Pelodiscus sinensis: one gene and its partner. The protein of the gene in region 1 purifies or fractionates together with the protein of each later gene. This does not show direct contact. Links are inferred from orthologs where the notes say so. Each region holds a gene or a part of one and is shown in the gene's direction. Other genes may lie near its edges.

Region 1 (7,409 bases):
CTATTTCTCAGTATTTGACCTTTGCTTATATTATCTCGGTTTGGTAAAACCTAACTCATCCTGGCTGTTGATTCTTTACTCTATTTCAAAGCAGGCTCAGAACACTTTCATCTTTCAACATTATTTTCTTACTTTATGTATTTTCTGGTGGGTTATGTGGTAGTTTAACATTTTTGGTTATACATAGCATAATGCGGCACTGGATTGAGGCAACAAGGGTCTCTCAGGAAAGAAAATGCATAGTCTGCAGAATGGTGGGCTGACATACAGGTGGAGAAGGGAAATACCTTTAGGCAGAAGCATGTCTCTTTCAAATGTGCATTAACAGGCCTCTCTTTACTTTTTGTCCCCCTCACCAAAGCTACCATCAGCCTCACTTTCAAGTATCTGTCACTGTGTGATCTTTCCAGGCAGTACAGGCAGTATCAGTGGGAACATTTTCACCTCAGGTTTCACACTGGTTGAACTCCAAGTTTTAACCAACTCTCTTCCCCCAAATCTTGAGCAAGAGAAGGGCTAATGGCAGGGGTGACTGGTGCCTGCAACAGGAAGGGGTACAGGAAGGGCTGGGCAGAGGTGCATCCCATTTAGCAATTAAAATGTCGGCATAGGAGGGCAGTGCATCTTCTGAGTGCTACCATGACTCACCTATAGCAGGTAGATCATTCTTCACAAGGCTCAGAAGTACTTGGACAGCAACAGAGTGGGGAAGATTTATTCTTTCTGCATAAATGCATGAAGACAATTGCCTCCCTATCCTGAAACTATGTATACTGCATTCTAGAGCACTTTAATGAGGCACATGTAGGCAAAGAGCTCAGACAGGTAGCTGTGTTAGTCTGTAACTTTAAAAACAATGAGTAGTCCTAAGGCACCTTAGAGATTTCCTCTCATCTCATCTGAGGAAGTGGATTTTGCCCACAAAAGCTTATGATACTATATTTGTTAATAGTTAAAGGGGTTCACCTGGGCAGAAGGGTGAGAGGCTGCTCTTTATGCAAGATTTAAAGAGAGAAGTCTCTTATTATTAAATACAACCAGGATCTCCTCCTAAACCTTTATATATATATATATATATATATATATATATATATATATATATATATATATATATATATATATAAAGATCTGGCTGGCTTGGGCCAAGAACCACACAGGAGATTACTCTGTGCCCCTATGGGCCAGTGCAGCCTCACATAATGCCTAATGTTTCCACAAGGTGCCAAAACAAATGTGTTATTGTAATTACCAAAATATTAGCAAGATGTTTCTAAAGCAGTAAGTACATCTTAGAGCCAAAAAAATTAAATCCACTGGTCCAAATAATAATAATCCAATATAATTATTTATAATATGTATGTAGTGATGCATACGCTTCTTGTATTTTGGAGAAATTTGGACCACAATGCAGGAGAGACTGACCTATCTTTGTAAAATGCATGTGTATCAACATCCTATCCAAACCCTCTTTACTCTGGAAAAGCTCAGATCTGGTTTCAAATATCATGATTAAACCCCATTCTAAATTGTGTTTCATGTGCCAGAATAAGCTAGTTAACTCAGAAAAGTCCCGAGAATAGCAGGCATTGTTTACCACTTATTCACACATAACACAGTAACTACTGTATAGCGTTCAACTTACTAAAAGCCTAACAAGTGACCCCTTCCTTTAAAATGCATGATCAAGACACAAACTGCACGAACACAACCTAACTATAATGAAGATTTTTTTTAAAAAAAGCAGAAGTGATATTAGTTTCGTTTTTTAACATTACAGAGAGTTTCCTAGAACCTCTGCTCCATGACTCAGCAATTTTCAGGCTGGTTATTTATTGTGAGAGGACACCCAGCCTATGTGGGGCAGAGGTAAATCAAAACAAATCTCAGGGGAAACTCAAATAAAGCTTCTGAAGCTGTGGAAGGAAGCAAACGGGGCTGGGTGAATATGGGTAATGTTGTATAGAAAGGGAAAAGCTTGAGAAATGCATTTTCAACTAAAACAGTCCCTAGGGGAAAAAAATGGCAAATGAATTTTAATGTTGTTAAATGCAAAGTAATGCACATTGGAAAAAAATAATCCCAACTATACATACAAAATGATGGGGACTAATTTAGCTATTACCACTCAAACAAAAAACAGGACTATGTAGCACTTTAAAGACTAACAAGATGGTTTATTAGGTGATGAGCTTTCGTGGGCCAGACCCACTTCCTCAGATCAAATAGTGGAAGAAAATTGTCACAACCATATATATCAAAGGACACAATTAAAAAATGAACACATATGAAAAGGAAATATGTTCAGATGTGTTCATTTTTTTAATTGTATCCTTTGGTATATATGGTTGTGACAATTTTCTTCCACTATTTGATCTGAGGAAGTGGGTCTGGCCCAAGAAAGCTCATCACCTCATCTTGTTAGTCTTTAAAGTGCTACATAGTCCTGTTTTTTGTTTCAGCTAAATCAGACTAACACGGCTACATTTCTATCACTATTACCACTCAAGAGAGAGATCTTAGAGTCACTGTGGATAGTTCTCTGAAAACAGGCCTGTACACAGGAATTTGTGTGGGGGTGATTTTTTTGTAAATGTGGACTGCAAGAGTTTAAATACACCCCCCTCCCATGGTTTCCCAAGTAAGCAGGGAAATCAGCCCCAGCCTTCCCCCAGCCAGCCAGAGCATGGGGGAAGGAGGCTCAGGTAGCATGCCACTCCCTTTCCATGAATAGCTGGATCATGCTTACTTGGGGGAGCATAGGAGAGTGCTTTTGCACCTTTTGCACACACCCTGCGTACAGGCCTGGAAAACATCCACTCGATGTGCAGCAGCCGGCAAAAAAGCAAAGAGAATGTTAGGAATAACTTTAAAAGGGACAGAAAATATCTTATTGCCTTAAAAATCCATGGTGTGCCCACATCTTGAATACTGTATACAAATGTGATCGTCTCATCTCAAAAAAAGCAAGCTATATTGGCATTGGAACAGGTTCAGAAAAGGGCAAAAAAATTTTAGGGGCTTGGAATGGATGCCATATACAGAGAGATTAAAAAGACTGGGGCTTTTCAGTAGAGAAAAAAGGAGACTATGGGTTTACAAAATCATGACAGATATGGACAAAGTGAATAAGGAAAAGTTATTTACTGGTTCCCATAAGAACTAAAGGTCACCAAATGAAATTAATAGGCAGCAGGTTTAAAACAAAAAAAAAAAAGGAAGTTTCTCTTCACAGAGTGTACAGTCAACCTGTGGAACTCCTTGCCTGAGGATGTTGTGAAGACCAGGACTTTAAGAGGGTTAAAAAAAAGAGCTAGATAAATTCATGGAAGTTAGGTTCACTAATGGCTATTAGCCAGGGTGGGCCGGAGTGGTGCCCCCCTAACCTGTGTTTGTCAGAGGCTGGAAAGGGATGGCAGGAGAGGGATCGCTTGACCATTACCTGTTCTGTTCATGTGCCGAAAGTGTCCGTCTGCTATGTACATTGGACAAACATCTCAGACACTTCGCCAAAGGATTAATGCCCACAAAACAGATATCAGACAAGATCACAAAGAGAAAACAGTTTCTTGCCACTTTAACCAGAAAGGACACTCTCTAAATGACTTAGCCACCCGCATTCTGCTACAAAGACCTTTTACATCTGCACTTGAAAGGGAATCCTCTGAACTGTCATTCATGTTAAAATTCGACACTTGCCAACAAGGACTTAACAAGTCTTTGAACTTTCTCACCCATTACCAAGACAGTTTCCCCAATTATCACCTGTAATACCATTAACTCACAAACATCCCACTCTCCCTACCTTTAATATCAGCAATTCACAGACACTTACCTTCCTTCCTCCCCCTTCCCACCCCCACCCCCCTGCATCCCCCTTCTGTTCTGCAATGTGATTTGTCCTTTTCATATTTGTTCATTTTTTTTATTGTATCCTTTGGTATATATGGTTGTGACTATTTTCTTCCACTATTTGATCTGAGGAAGTGGGTCTGGCCCACGAAAGCTCATCATCTAATAAACCATCTTGTTAGTCTTTAAAGTGCTACATAGTCCTGTATTTTGCTGTTCTGTTCACTCCCTCTGGGGCACCTGGCATTGGCCACTGCTGACAGGCAGGCTACTGGGCTAGGTGGACCTTTGGCCCGACCTGTTCTGTGCAAAGCAAGGGAGGGAAGTGCAGCAGCGAGGCAGAGCACCGCCCTCCCCCAACTTTGCTCCGCGAGCCGGGCCCAGGGCCAACGCGGGGAGGGGGCGTGGCCTCGGGCGGCCGGCGCCCCTCCCCGCTCGGGGGGCGTGCGCCCGAAGGACACGCAGGGGCGGGGCTCTGCCGCAGAAGGCGAATGGTGGCGTCGGGCGGCGCGGTGACGTCGCGCGTGCGTGGGTGACGCCGCGGCGGCCTCTCTCATTCTGGTCCCGGTCTCGTCCTCGCTGCCGGCCCCGCTGCCCCCTCGGCCTGTCCCGCGCGCGCCGCCAGCCCGCCCCGTCCCTGCGCCATGGCGAACGTGGCCGACACCAAGCTCTACGACATCCTGGGGGTGCCGCCCGGGGCCTCCGACAACGAGCTGAAGAAGGTACCGGCCGGGGAGGCGCCGCGCCGGGCAGGCCCCGCTTGGGCAGCCGGGAGGTCACGATGAGGCGGGGAGGCCCCGGGCCGGGCTGGCGGGGGTCAGGCCGAGCGGAAGGCCCCAAGCGGCTTCCAGGCGAGGCCGCGCCGCGAAGCCGCTTGGGGCCTGCCTGGCCGGCGCCGGGGAAGGCGAGTAGGCCGCGGGGAGGCGCTGGAGGGAGCGGGGCCGCGGGTGGGGGAGGGGATCCTGGCCGGGCGCTGGGGGGGGGGGGTCTCCGCCTAACGTGAGGGGGTCGACCGGGTTCCCTGCCCGGAGCCGCCTGCGCGTGTCTCCTCACTGCGTGCCCCGTGCGCTGAGGGAGCGTCGCCTGCTCTCCGTGGTGCCCTGGGGGCCGATCCCATCGCGATTGGAGGCTTCAGCCCTGAAACCTGCTGAAAGTGGCGTTCCAGCCACTGCCATTGTCTGACTGCAGCAGCATGGGCCCCCTTTGGGTCTCCCCGGCCCGTCCCTGTGGAGCTGGTCTTTCCCAAGCTGAAAGCACCTAGGGAAAATAAACAAGGAAGCTGAGCATTAGAGCCCAGTGTTTTGGGATCCTCATTACCCTATACCCATCACTGACCTCTAAACGTGTATTGGTTGTATTAATCTTCTAGTATGCCAGCCACTCCTTACCCACTTCCCAACTGCATCACCTAGCACTTAAAAGTACATCATAGCCTTGGTTAGGTATTTACTGGTCACCGCCTGTGATCCCTTGGAATAATGGTGGTGCTGCTGCAGTGAACTAGGTATCTGCACGTGATAGCCAAATTTGTTTGGGGTGGGCATTAATTGTTATGAAACTATATGTCCAATACGTGTTGATAAAAGGAAGCTATGAAATGATGGCAGCCAAGTATGATCATACTGTCTACAGAAAGAAACCTTGTTTGGGGCATCTTGTTTGTTGTATGAATGGTGGTCTTGGAAACGCAATTGTTTAATACCTATAAAACAAAACAAGTACATAGTCCAAAGTATACTTAAATAGTTAATGGTAAAGTTGCCAGCTATCTCTCAGTGCCAAGCACGTAATCTCTCGTTAATTAATTTGGACCTAACTGGGTGTCTAAATACTGAGAACGTGTAATTCTAATGTCAGTACCAAGCAAATTAGTTGAAACTATAATACAGAATAAAATTATCAGACACGTAGCTGAACATAATTTGTTGGGGAAAAGTCAACATGGTTTCTGTAAAGAAAAATCATGCCTTACTAATCTGCTAGAGTTCTTTGAGGGAGTCAACGAGCATGTGAACAAGGGGGATCCAGTGGATATAGTGTACTTAGATTTCCAGAAAGCCTTTGACAAGATCCCTCACTAAATGCTCTTAAGCAAAGTAAGTTGTCAAGGGATATGAGGGAAGGTCCTTTCATGGATTGATAACTGGTTAAAAGACAGGAAACAAAAGATAGGAATAAATGGTAAGTTTTCAGTGTGGAGAGAGAGAACTAGTGGTGTCCCCAAGGGTCTGTCCTGGGACCAATCCTATTCAATGTATTTATAAATGATCTAGAGAAAGGGTTCAGAGGGGTAGTCAAGTTAGTCTGTAAGTAGAAAAACTTAAAAAAAATAGTCTAGTAGCACCTTAAAGACTAACAAAACATGTTGATGGTATCATGAGCTTTCATGGGCATCATCCACTTGTTAGTAAGTTATGTTTTGTTAGTCTAATAGCATCTTAAAGGCTATTCATTGCTTTTTAAGGTGTTTTTTTGTTTTGTTTGTTTTTGTGGGGGGGGGTTTTAAGAGAAAGGGGTAAACAGTGAGGTGGCAAAATTTGTAGATAATACCAAACTGCTCAAGATATTTAAGACCAAAGCAGACTGTGAAAAGATTCAAAAAGACGTCACCAGACTAAGTGATAGGACAACAAAATGGGAAATTAATTTTAATGTTGATAAATGCGAAGTAATGCACATTAGAAAAAATTATCCTGTCTATGCATAAAAATTTGATGGGGGTTAATTTGGCTACAACTACTCAAGAGAGATATCTTGGAGTCATTGTGGATAATTCTCTGAAAACATCTACTCAATGTATAGCAGCAGTCAAAAAAAAGCAAACAATGTTAGGAGTCATTTAGAAAGGGATAGAGAATAAGACAAAGGATATCATATTGCCTCTATATAAACCCAGGGTATGCCTACCACTTGAATACTGCATACAGATGTGATTGCCTCATCTCAAAAAAGATATATTGGCATTGGAAAAGGTTCAGAAATGGCTAACAAAAATGATTAGGGGTTTGGAACAGGTCCCATATGAAGAGAGGTTAAAAAGACTTGGGCTTTTCAGCTTAGAAAAGAGAAGACTAAGGGTGGGAGAGTATGATCGAGGTCTATAAAATCATGACTGGTATGGAAAAAGTGAATAAGGAAAAGTTATTTACTTATTCCCACAATATAAGAAGTAGGGGGTCACCACATGAAATTAATAGGGAACAGGTTTAAACAAACAAAAGGAAGGTTTTTTTTTCCCACTCAGGGCATAGTCAACCTCTGGAACTCCTTGCCAGAGGATGTAGTGATGGCTAGGACTTTAACAGGGTTCAAAAAAGAACTAGGTAAGTTCATGGAGGTTAAATCCATCAATGGCTATTAGCCAGGATGGGTAGGAAAGGTGTCCCTAGCCTATTGTTTGTCTGGAAATGGATGACGGAGAGGGATCATGTAAGGTTTAGCTGTTGTGGTCCCTCCCTCTGGGGCATCTGGTATTGACCACTATAAGCAGTCAGGCTACCGGGCTAGATGGACCATTGGTCTGGCCCAGTATGGCCGTTCTTTTGTAACATACTTACAAG
Region 2 (7,714 bases), on another chromosome or scaffold:
GATTCATCAGCTCATCGAGTAGTTGATGGAATTTCCATCGAGTGGTCGATAAGGGGAAGTGCTCACTATCCAGCTACACCTCTGCCTTTGAAATGTACAAGAGCCACAGGCGGCTCTTGTACATTTCAACAGCAGAGGGGCAGCAGTTTGAAACCCAGCGAGTGGGGACTGCTTTGGTCCAATTCCCTGCTGCACCTCTGCCTCCCTTGCCCCTCCCTCTGCGGAGTCGGTGCTGGGGGGAGCGGCTTTTAAGCCACTTCCTCCCCCCGCCCCCCGATGCCTCTGATAGAAGCAGCAAGGTGGGGGGAGTGACTAGTCGAGCCTACGCTTATTGGGTAGTCGACTCGTCACTTACATCCCTGATTTAACCCGTTAACTGGTGCAAGGGGATTTTGCAGCTCTCTCCTGAAGCTATCGTCCAGATGACTCCAGCAGCAATGGTGCTCCTCGAAAGGCCGGCTGACTGTGGGGAGCTACCTTCTGGGCCCTCTTCTCCCGTTTGCTGGGGACGGATGCAAAGGGTGGGTGTGGCGCGGAGATTGCAGCTCATCCCGGTGCACTCACTAGTGCCGAGACTGGCGCACGAGCGGCGGAAGAGGGGATGCCTTGAGGATTGCGTGATGGCCACTTGTAAGCAAGAGCCTTAGAGGGGACTGTGGCGGAACCGCACTTCGTGCCTCTTCCTCTCCTTCTGATTTTGGAGGTTCGGAGTGATTGTTGTGGCCAGTCACGGATCCCCGGTCGTCCTCTCAAAAGACTAGAAGCGGCTAGAAACGCAGAGTCTCGCTTTCAAAGACAGGTCGCTCCTGCCTGGGAGAAGGCACCGCCTCCCGCCCAAAGGGAGCGGGCTGGTGGCAGCGGCCCTGTGCCAAGACGCCAGCTCGTCGGCGGTTGGCTGGACAAGTCACCGCAGAGAGCAAGTCGAGAGTGGATCTAGCTGGCCGCGGGGAGACGGGCCTTTGTATGAAGCCAGGCAAGGCGAGCGGGGGAGGCTCGCTGCAGGCGTGCGGTGATGCGCCACTGACTATTGCTGTAGCATGTGGAGTCGTTCCCGTCGGACTCCCCTTGGATGTTGCGTTACGGGTGCGGTGCAGGCCGGATCTGCTTGAGCAGGGGTGGCCGGTGAACTTTGGCAAACAGCCTCCCGGCATGTAATGCCTTGTCCTGCTGCCGAGGGGTTTTCTGCCTATGTAAGAGGTTGGAATATTCAGCCCTCCTGCTAGTTCTGCCTAATACCTTCCAGCGCCCTAGGAAGACGCCCCAAGTATCGCAGTGGTGCTCAATCTTCTTTCATTCACCGGGAACATTTTTGTTGAAGGGGGGAGAAAAAAAAACCTGCTGGGAACATTATTGTGGCCCCTTTAATTTAAAGCGCTGGTCCGCTCCCCTGCCACTTCCGCGTACGTCAGACGCCGGGAGTCCATGTACGTCAGGCGCCGAGCCGGGAAAACAAATTGCTGGCCAGCCCAGATCCAAGTGCTGCCACTCCACCCAGGAAGACAGGTTGCTCACCGCTGAAGTATTGTACCCAAACAAACGCACGTGCCCATCCCAGGTCCTGTACAGGTGTAGTCAGAGCCCTGGGATCTAATCGAGCTGTCCTGATGTCTGAATTCCGTACCAGCTGGTTCCCTCCCCTGGCTGGAGAGTGGGAGGAGCCGTCTGCGTGGCTGCAGGTGAACTCGCCCAGCAGAGCCTATTCGGAAGGGATCGGGTGCCTTCAGGAAAATGGGGACGAGCCAATTGGTTCGTGTCAATGAGGAATTCCGCAGCTGGGAATGAGACAGCAGGCCCCACCCGCTGATTGCTTCCTGGTTGGCTAGTTAGCCCAGGACAGTGATTAAGCTGATATCGGAGTAATTAAACCAGGGTGAGACGTGCAGCAGCATGGCTGTTAAACAGCCGCGCGCCTGCAGTACTTCGCTCACGTAATTGGTCTGCGGAAACCCATCAAAACGGAGAACCCACACGGAAGGGAAGAGCGCTGAACAGCTGGTGCATGAAATAAAAATAAAGTGTTTGCTGCTGACGGCTGGTAATAAACCAAATCTTCAGCTCCCAGTGGGAAAACCAGGGGAGGCAGTTGGAGAGGCGGGAGCATACGATTTTGGGAGCCGGGGGAAACATAAACTAGCAGATGGCTAACGTCAGTGTATGTGTGGTAGGGGGTAAGCTGCTAATCCGCTGCGGCTTGTCACTCGGGGGACAAAAAGGAAGGACTAAATGCATCTGCAGTACATCCTGCTCTCGGCCGAAAGGCAAAAGTTGCGTCCTGACCTGGCAGGTTGATCTGGGAATACTCTGTGGAGTGATGTCTTAGCTGTCATAGCCAGATATAAATCCCCGAGTGTGTTGCAGTCTTTTGTGCCTCTCTTTGCAGGTAGGGAAATTAATAACCATTTTATAGAGGGCGTGTGGACTAAGTGACTTGCCCAAGGTTGCACAGGAAGTCTGTAGCAGAGCAAGGAATTGAATCAGGGTCTTCTGGCCAACCACTGTGCCATTCCCCTGAGGAGGAGTCAGAGAGGCAGCCTCTAGTTAAAAAGGGTATGTAATTCCCTCTATATTTCAGCTGGGAGGACCCCTGTGTAGACTCGTGAAATTCTATAGCCCTTGACGTAGGAGATTGGTGAATGTTGCCCTCCATTCACCCCTTGTGATTGTGCAGTGTCTTGTCAGGGACAATGAATTGCCTTGTTTGGGGGACTTGGGAAAGCTGGATTGAATTCCTACTGCTCATGCTGACCTTGGGCACGTCAGTTTCCTTTCTGTGGCGCTGTTCCCTGCCTCGACAGCGGGTGATGCTTCCTCTCTGAGGGAGTGCGTGCTGAGGACTGTGAATGCCCCTCGCTGCTTGTGAGTCGCTTGCGGGTGTCCTCTGCTGGCCATCCCAACCCATGGGTCTGAGTTTTCTGCTGGCAAAACAACCTAGTAGTTAAAGCAGAGAACCCTCCTAGTCCAGCCACTTATTTGCTTTGTGACCTTGGGCATGTCACTTAGCCTTCCTGGTGTACCCCACTTACAGAATGGAGACCTACAACCCAGAGGGGCGGGGTGCAAACGGGTGGCTGCCAAGCACGGAGACCCTTGGATGGAAGGTGCCGAGGCAGCTCGGGTCTAGCTCCAAGGAGCCTGAATTCCAGACCGTAGCTTCACACTCAGTGACCCTTCTGGCTTGCTGAGGTCACAGCTCCTGTCCCCTCCTTCCTCCCGTGGGCTGCAGCACAGCGCGGGGCTGAGGGCCGTGCATGGTACTGACTCCGTCCTGCCGGAGGACCACCACTGGCGCTCCAGTTCAGTGCTCTCTGGTCGCTGTCTTGCGGGGCGGGATGGAAGATACATGCATCACCCGTGCATGGCTGCTGTGCCCTGCCGCTCTCCCCTTGATACGGTGGCCGACACCAGGGCAGATCCCAGCCCCGGTCCCAGGAGAAATGTGGCAGTATCGTGTCCAGGGCCTCCTCCAGTGTGAGGTGATGAGGTGTCGCTTGGTCCGAGATCTAAAGCCCCTGCTGGCATACAGACCCGGTGCCCAAACCTGCCCTTCGTCGGGCAAGGGCATTGACTTCATCCATAGCCTTTCCGCTGAGCTTCTGTGCAGGGCTGCGTAAGAATCCCGATCCCCTGCGTGGGGGGGTGAGTCTCTCACTGCTGCACTGGGCCCAGCAGCCGCCAGCAAATCGGGACTTGCTGAGTCTGGTCTGCGGTGCTCTGTGACCGTGCCCTTGTGGGGCTGGGATTTCCGGGGCCCTGTTTAGTTGCGCAGGAGTTGGCGTCAGTGCAGTGCCTTCGGAACAAGGGGGGCTGCTGGCTGGTTGTTCCCGAGCCGTCCTTTGACTGGCTTTGGGTAAACTCCCACCTGCCTCCCAAGCTGCCTCGTTATTTACAACTTGAATTGTCCTTGGATTCTAAGTCTACAAACCAACCTGCTTTTGCGCTTCCTGAGCATCCTTTAGTCTCGTCCTCCTCGAACTCCCCGCTCCGTCCTGTTGGAGAAAGTACTAGTTGTGCTGAAAGGGCCGCTTGGAACATCTGCCCCAGAGCCGCCACAAGGAGGCTGGCAGTGAGGAGATGCTAAGTGGACACGTGGGTTCGGAGTCTGTGCGTAGGCTCTTCCCAACAGCACCTTCCAGGCCATATTGTGACACAACGGCTAGTATCTACACGACAGCCGATGTTGGTGAAATGTCACTCGTGGTGTGACTGTTGCACCTCCTGAGCCATGTAAGTTTCACTGACAGCGCAGTGCGCACGTGTGTGTGTGTGTGTGTGTGTGTGTGTGTGTGTGTGTTAGCCAGAGAGCTACTGCTGCTTGTGGAGATGGGTGAGGTCTGTGCATAGGGTGGGGGGTGTGTGTGTGTGTGAGAGAGAGAGAGAGCGCGCTGCTGCCGCTTGTGGAGATGGGTGAGCATTGTGCACAGGAGGGGTGTGTGTGTGTGACACACACACACACACACACACACACACACACTTGCTGCCGCTTGTGGAGGTGACTGTGTTGTGCCAGCCAGCTCTCTCCCATCGGCACGGAGCATCTTCATCAGACACGCTGCAGCGGCCCAGCATTGTGCACATAGACTGGCCCTAGTCCTGGAGACAGTGGCACAGCCCTGGGGAGAGCCTTCTGCGGGAAGTGCCCCGTGTTAGATGGCCCTGTTGGCGGGATGGGTCGTACCCCTGAGCATCTGCGGAGGGGATGAGCCTCATGCGCTTGGGGCAGGAGGAATGTACCGTCCTGTGCTCTGCGCCTGTAACGGGGGCTCTTGCCGATGCCACTTCCTGGATAACGCCGTTCTGAGCGCTGTCGGTGCCAAAACATCCTGTTTCTCCGTGTGGCAGATGAGTGAAGTTCGTCGAGTTGCTGAGGGGAGCCCCCCTCGGGCCTGCTGCTCCCAGCTCTGGTTGCTAGCGAATAGGATGCCCATGCCCCCCTGCTCGGCCGCGGGGGGCCCCGTTCTGAGGGTGAGGAACGTGTTCTCTGGGGGGCTGCCCGGAGCTACGCTGCTTGCCAAGGGGCCGTGAGGGAAGAGGGGAGTGTCCGCGGCGCGAGAGCCAAGCTTCCTTCTCCTTCCTGCGCTGAGCTCAGCTTGACCCCAGCCCTTGAGAGAGGGGGCGGGAACTGGCCACAAGGAGGCTTGCGGGTTGGTCCTGAAAAAATCCCCCAACCGCCTGGTCCTTGGATGGACGGAGGGCAGCTGGGACCGCTCGGGGGAGGCGGGGGGGAGGGAGCGACTCAGGCTGCTCTTCCAGCCAAGCCTGACGAGTCCGTTCCCCTCTTCCTCCCGTCCACTTCTCCGAACTCCTGGCCGCCTGGGAGGCCCCTGAGGTGGGAGCTGTGAGAGGAGAGGCCGCAGCTGCACCCGGCGGGCTGCGGGGGCGCTTAACTTTCCGGAGGGGAGGCTGTGGCCAGCAAGAGAAGGCCTCCGGCTGTCTCTGGAGCGCTGCTCCTGTAGCTGCTGCTCGGAGCCCTTGCTGCAAAGAGCAGGCGGAGGCCGGCGCGAAGGCGAGGCTGGCGCTGCCTCCTGGCTGTTGCGTGCAGCTGTTTGAAAGGCTTCGCAGACCCTGGGATGCTCAGGGATTGGCCACTCTCTTTCTCTGCGTCCAGCTCAGTCGCCGCAAGCTGTCTCGAGCCAGGGCTGCTAGATTAGGCGGCTGTTCACCGCGTGTGGGGTGATTGGACCTGTTGTCCTGACTCTCTCCCTGTCGTGCTGCCATCTGGGGCAGGGCCCAGCTTCCTACGCTCTGAACCCTCCGGGTCAATGTTCCCCTTAAGTTTTTTCCACCCATGTGTGGAATAAATTTTATGTGCACTGATGAATCCCTCCTGGGCGGCTGCTTTTGGGGAACGCTGCTCTCGGCCCTGATCCTGGGCTGAGCTCTGCAGGGCTTGTCAGAGCACAAGTCGCTCTGAGGAGCAGGGAAGACGTGGTCTGACTGTTTTCGGTCCATGCCAGGGCTCAAGCTTGCCCAAGGGCTAGGCTGGGGTGTGTGGGTCTTGCCTAGCCCACCTGGGCAATGGGTTAACAGGGCAGGGCTGCCTGTAGCTGCCCTGTCCCGTGAAAATCACTTTCAGGGAGGTGCTCGGGGATTCGGCCTCCAAGAGCGTGAGTCCTTCTCCTCCCGGCTCCTCCCCAGCACTGCAGGGAGGGGTGGGCTGCACATGGCGAGATCTTGTGGGCCCGGTAAATAAGGATGCGACTGAAGTTGTGCACACACTGCCCAAGCCCACAGAGGCTGCACCGGCGGGAGGTTTTGAGTGGGGCCACGGGTGACCCTCTCTTGGGGCTCACAACGAGTCCGTCTCGCACCGCTGGACTCTGACGGGTGACGTCTCATTTCTCTCGTCTTCCTCCTAGACGGTAGAACATGGGTTCCCCAACCAGCCGAGCTCCCTGGCCTACGACCCCAAGCTGAGAATTATGGCAGTCGGCACCAAATCGGGAGCTGTGAAAGTGTATCCTTTCCTGGATGTGCTCTCTTGGGAGACTCCGGAGAAGGGCAGAAGGTAAGGTCACCTCGGGCCAGCTGCGGGGCGAACTTGCTGTTGCCCGTGGGTTGCTTTCCAGCTACCACCAGGCATGGTCTTAACATCCTCTGGCAAGGAGTTCCACAGGTTGACTGTGTGCTGCATGAAGAAAAACGCCCTTTTGTTTGTTTTAAACCTGCTACCTATTATTTTCATTTGGGGAGCCCTCGTCCCCTAGAGGCGTTCTCTATTGCCCTGGGAGGTGTTGGGACTGTCCTGCGCCAGGGCTGTATTTCTGTCCAGCTTGCTGCGGCTCCAGGATCTATCTGGCAGCTGATCTCAACTCATTAGCTCCCCTGTGGCTTTGAAAATTGGACCTGCGGCTGAGCGCCAGGTGTGTTGGATGGGGAAGTGGGGTTTCTCGGCCCGTGGAACAGCCTTGACCCTGGGGAGCTGGCTGGCTGCCCTGTCCAGATGAGTGTGCAAAGTCGGGCTCGCAGCGAGGAGCTTTTATTTTTCTTGCCTCTGCAAAATCTCTCTGCCTTGACTGCAGCCATGCTGAAAGCCTTGGCTACCCGTGTCCTCTCTGTGCCTGGGCTGAAGGCTGCGGAGCTGGGAGCTTTGGAGGGCTCCACGGAGCCCGGCTTGGTGGTGTCTTGACTCTCGTAACCCACTGCGAATGGGTGTTCCCCGCTGCGCCTGCCAGTTTGCTCCAGCGTGGCTCCTTGTGGGCAGGGGCTGTTTATGCAGCTCTAAAGCGAGGGCACAGTTCTGGTGCCAGGCGAGAGGGGATAGGGCCTGGGTAAGGAGCAGACGCGCTGGAGGCAGGTAGGAGGACAGCCAGAGGTGCAGCGACCTCCCCAGGTGTCTGCTTCGGAGGTAGCGGCAGGAGCACATGCCCGGAGTCTGGGATCTCCTCGCTCTGCCCCCGACCCTGTTCGTGGGTCCTCGCTTGTGCCCCCATGTGCTCCCCAGGGAGGCTGGTGTTTACCTGCTTCCTGGGGCGGTTCCCTGAGCGTGAGTCACCAGGCTCGGGGAGGAGAAGTGATGTCACCGCTCTGTGGTCCAGCCGTGGAGGTTGGGGAGGGCTGCGTGAGCCCCGGATCTGGTGGGCGGGCGGGAGGGCACGCCCTCGCCCTCTCCCTGCATGGGCGTTGCTGCGAATAGCTCTGGCCAAGATTCCAGCCTCAGCAATCAGCTGTCGGGCAAAGCTGTGACTCAGAGTTGATCCTCCCCTGAGCGCGGCTT

Evidence for each region.
Region 2: the proteins of DNAJA2 (region 1) and LLGL1 purify together in Homo sapiens (co-immunoprecipitation; 3 studies listed by BioGRID and IntAct, with this or other methods). This does not show direct contact. The link is inferred for Pelodiscus sinensis from reciprocal best matches to the Homo sapiens genes DNAJA2 and LLGL1.

Annotation. Positions count from the first base shown.
Region 1 is NC_134722.1:27,730,838-27,738,246, reverse strand, and holds the start of DNAJA2 (dnaJ homolog subfamily A member 2), read left to right. Parts: upstream 1-4,360; 5' UTR 4,361-4,493; coding exon 4,494-4,571; intron 4,572-7,409. UniProt on the Homo sapiens protein: Co-chaperone of Hsc70. Stimulates ATP hydrolysis and the folding of unfolded proteins mediated by HSPA1A/B (in vitro).
Region 2 is NC_134726.1:34,107,258-34,114,971, forward strand, and holds the start of LLGL1 (lethal(2) giant larvae protein homolog 1), read left to right. Parts: upstream 1-4,710; 5' UTR 4,711-4,725; coding exon 4,726-4,962; intron 4,963-6,356; coding exon 6,357-6,454; intron 6,455-7,714. UniProt on the Homo sapiens protein: Cortical cytoskeleton protein found in a complex involved in maintaining cell polarity and epithelial integrity. Involved in the regulation of mitotic spindle orientation, proliferation, differentiation and tissue organization of neuroepithelial cells.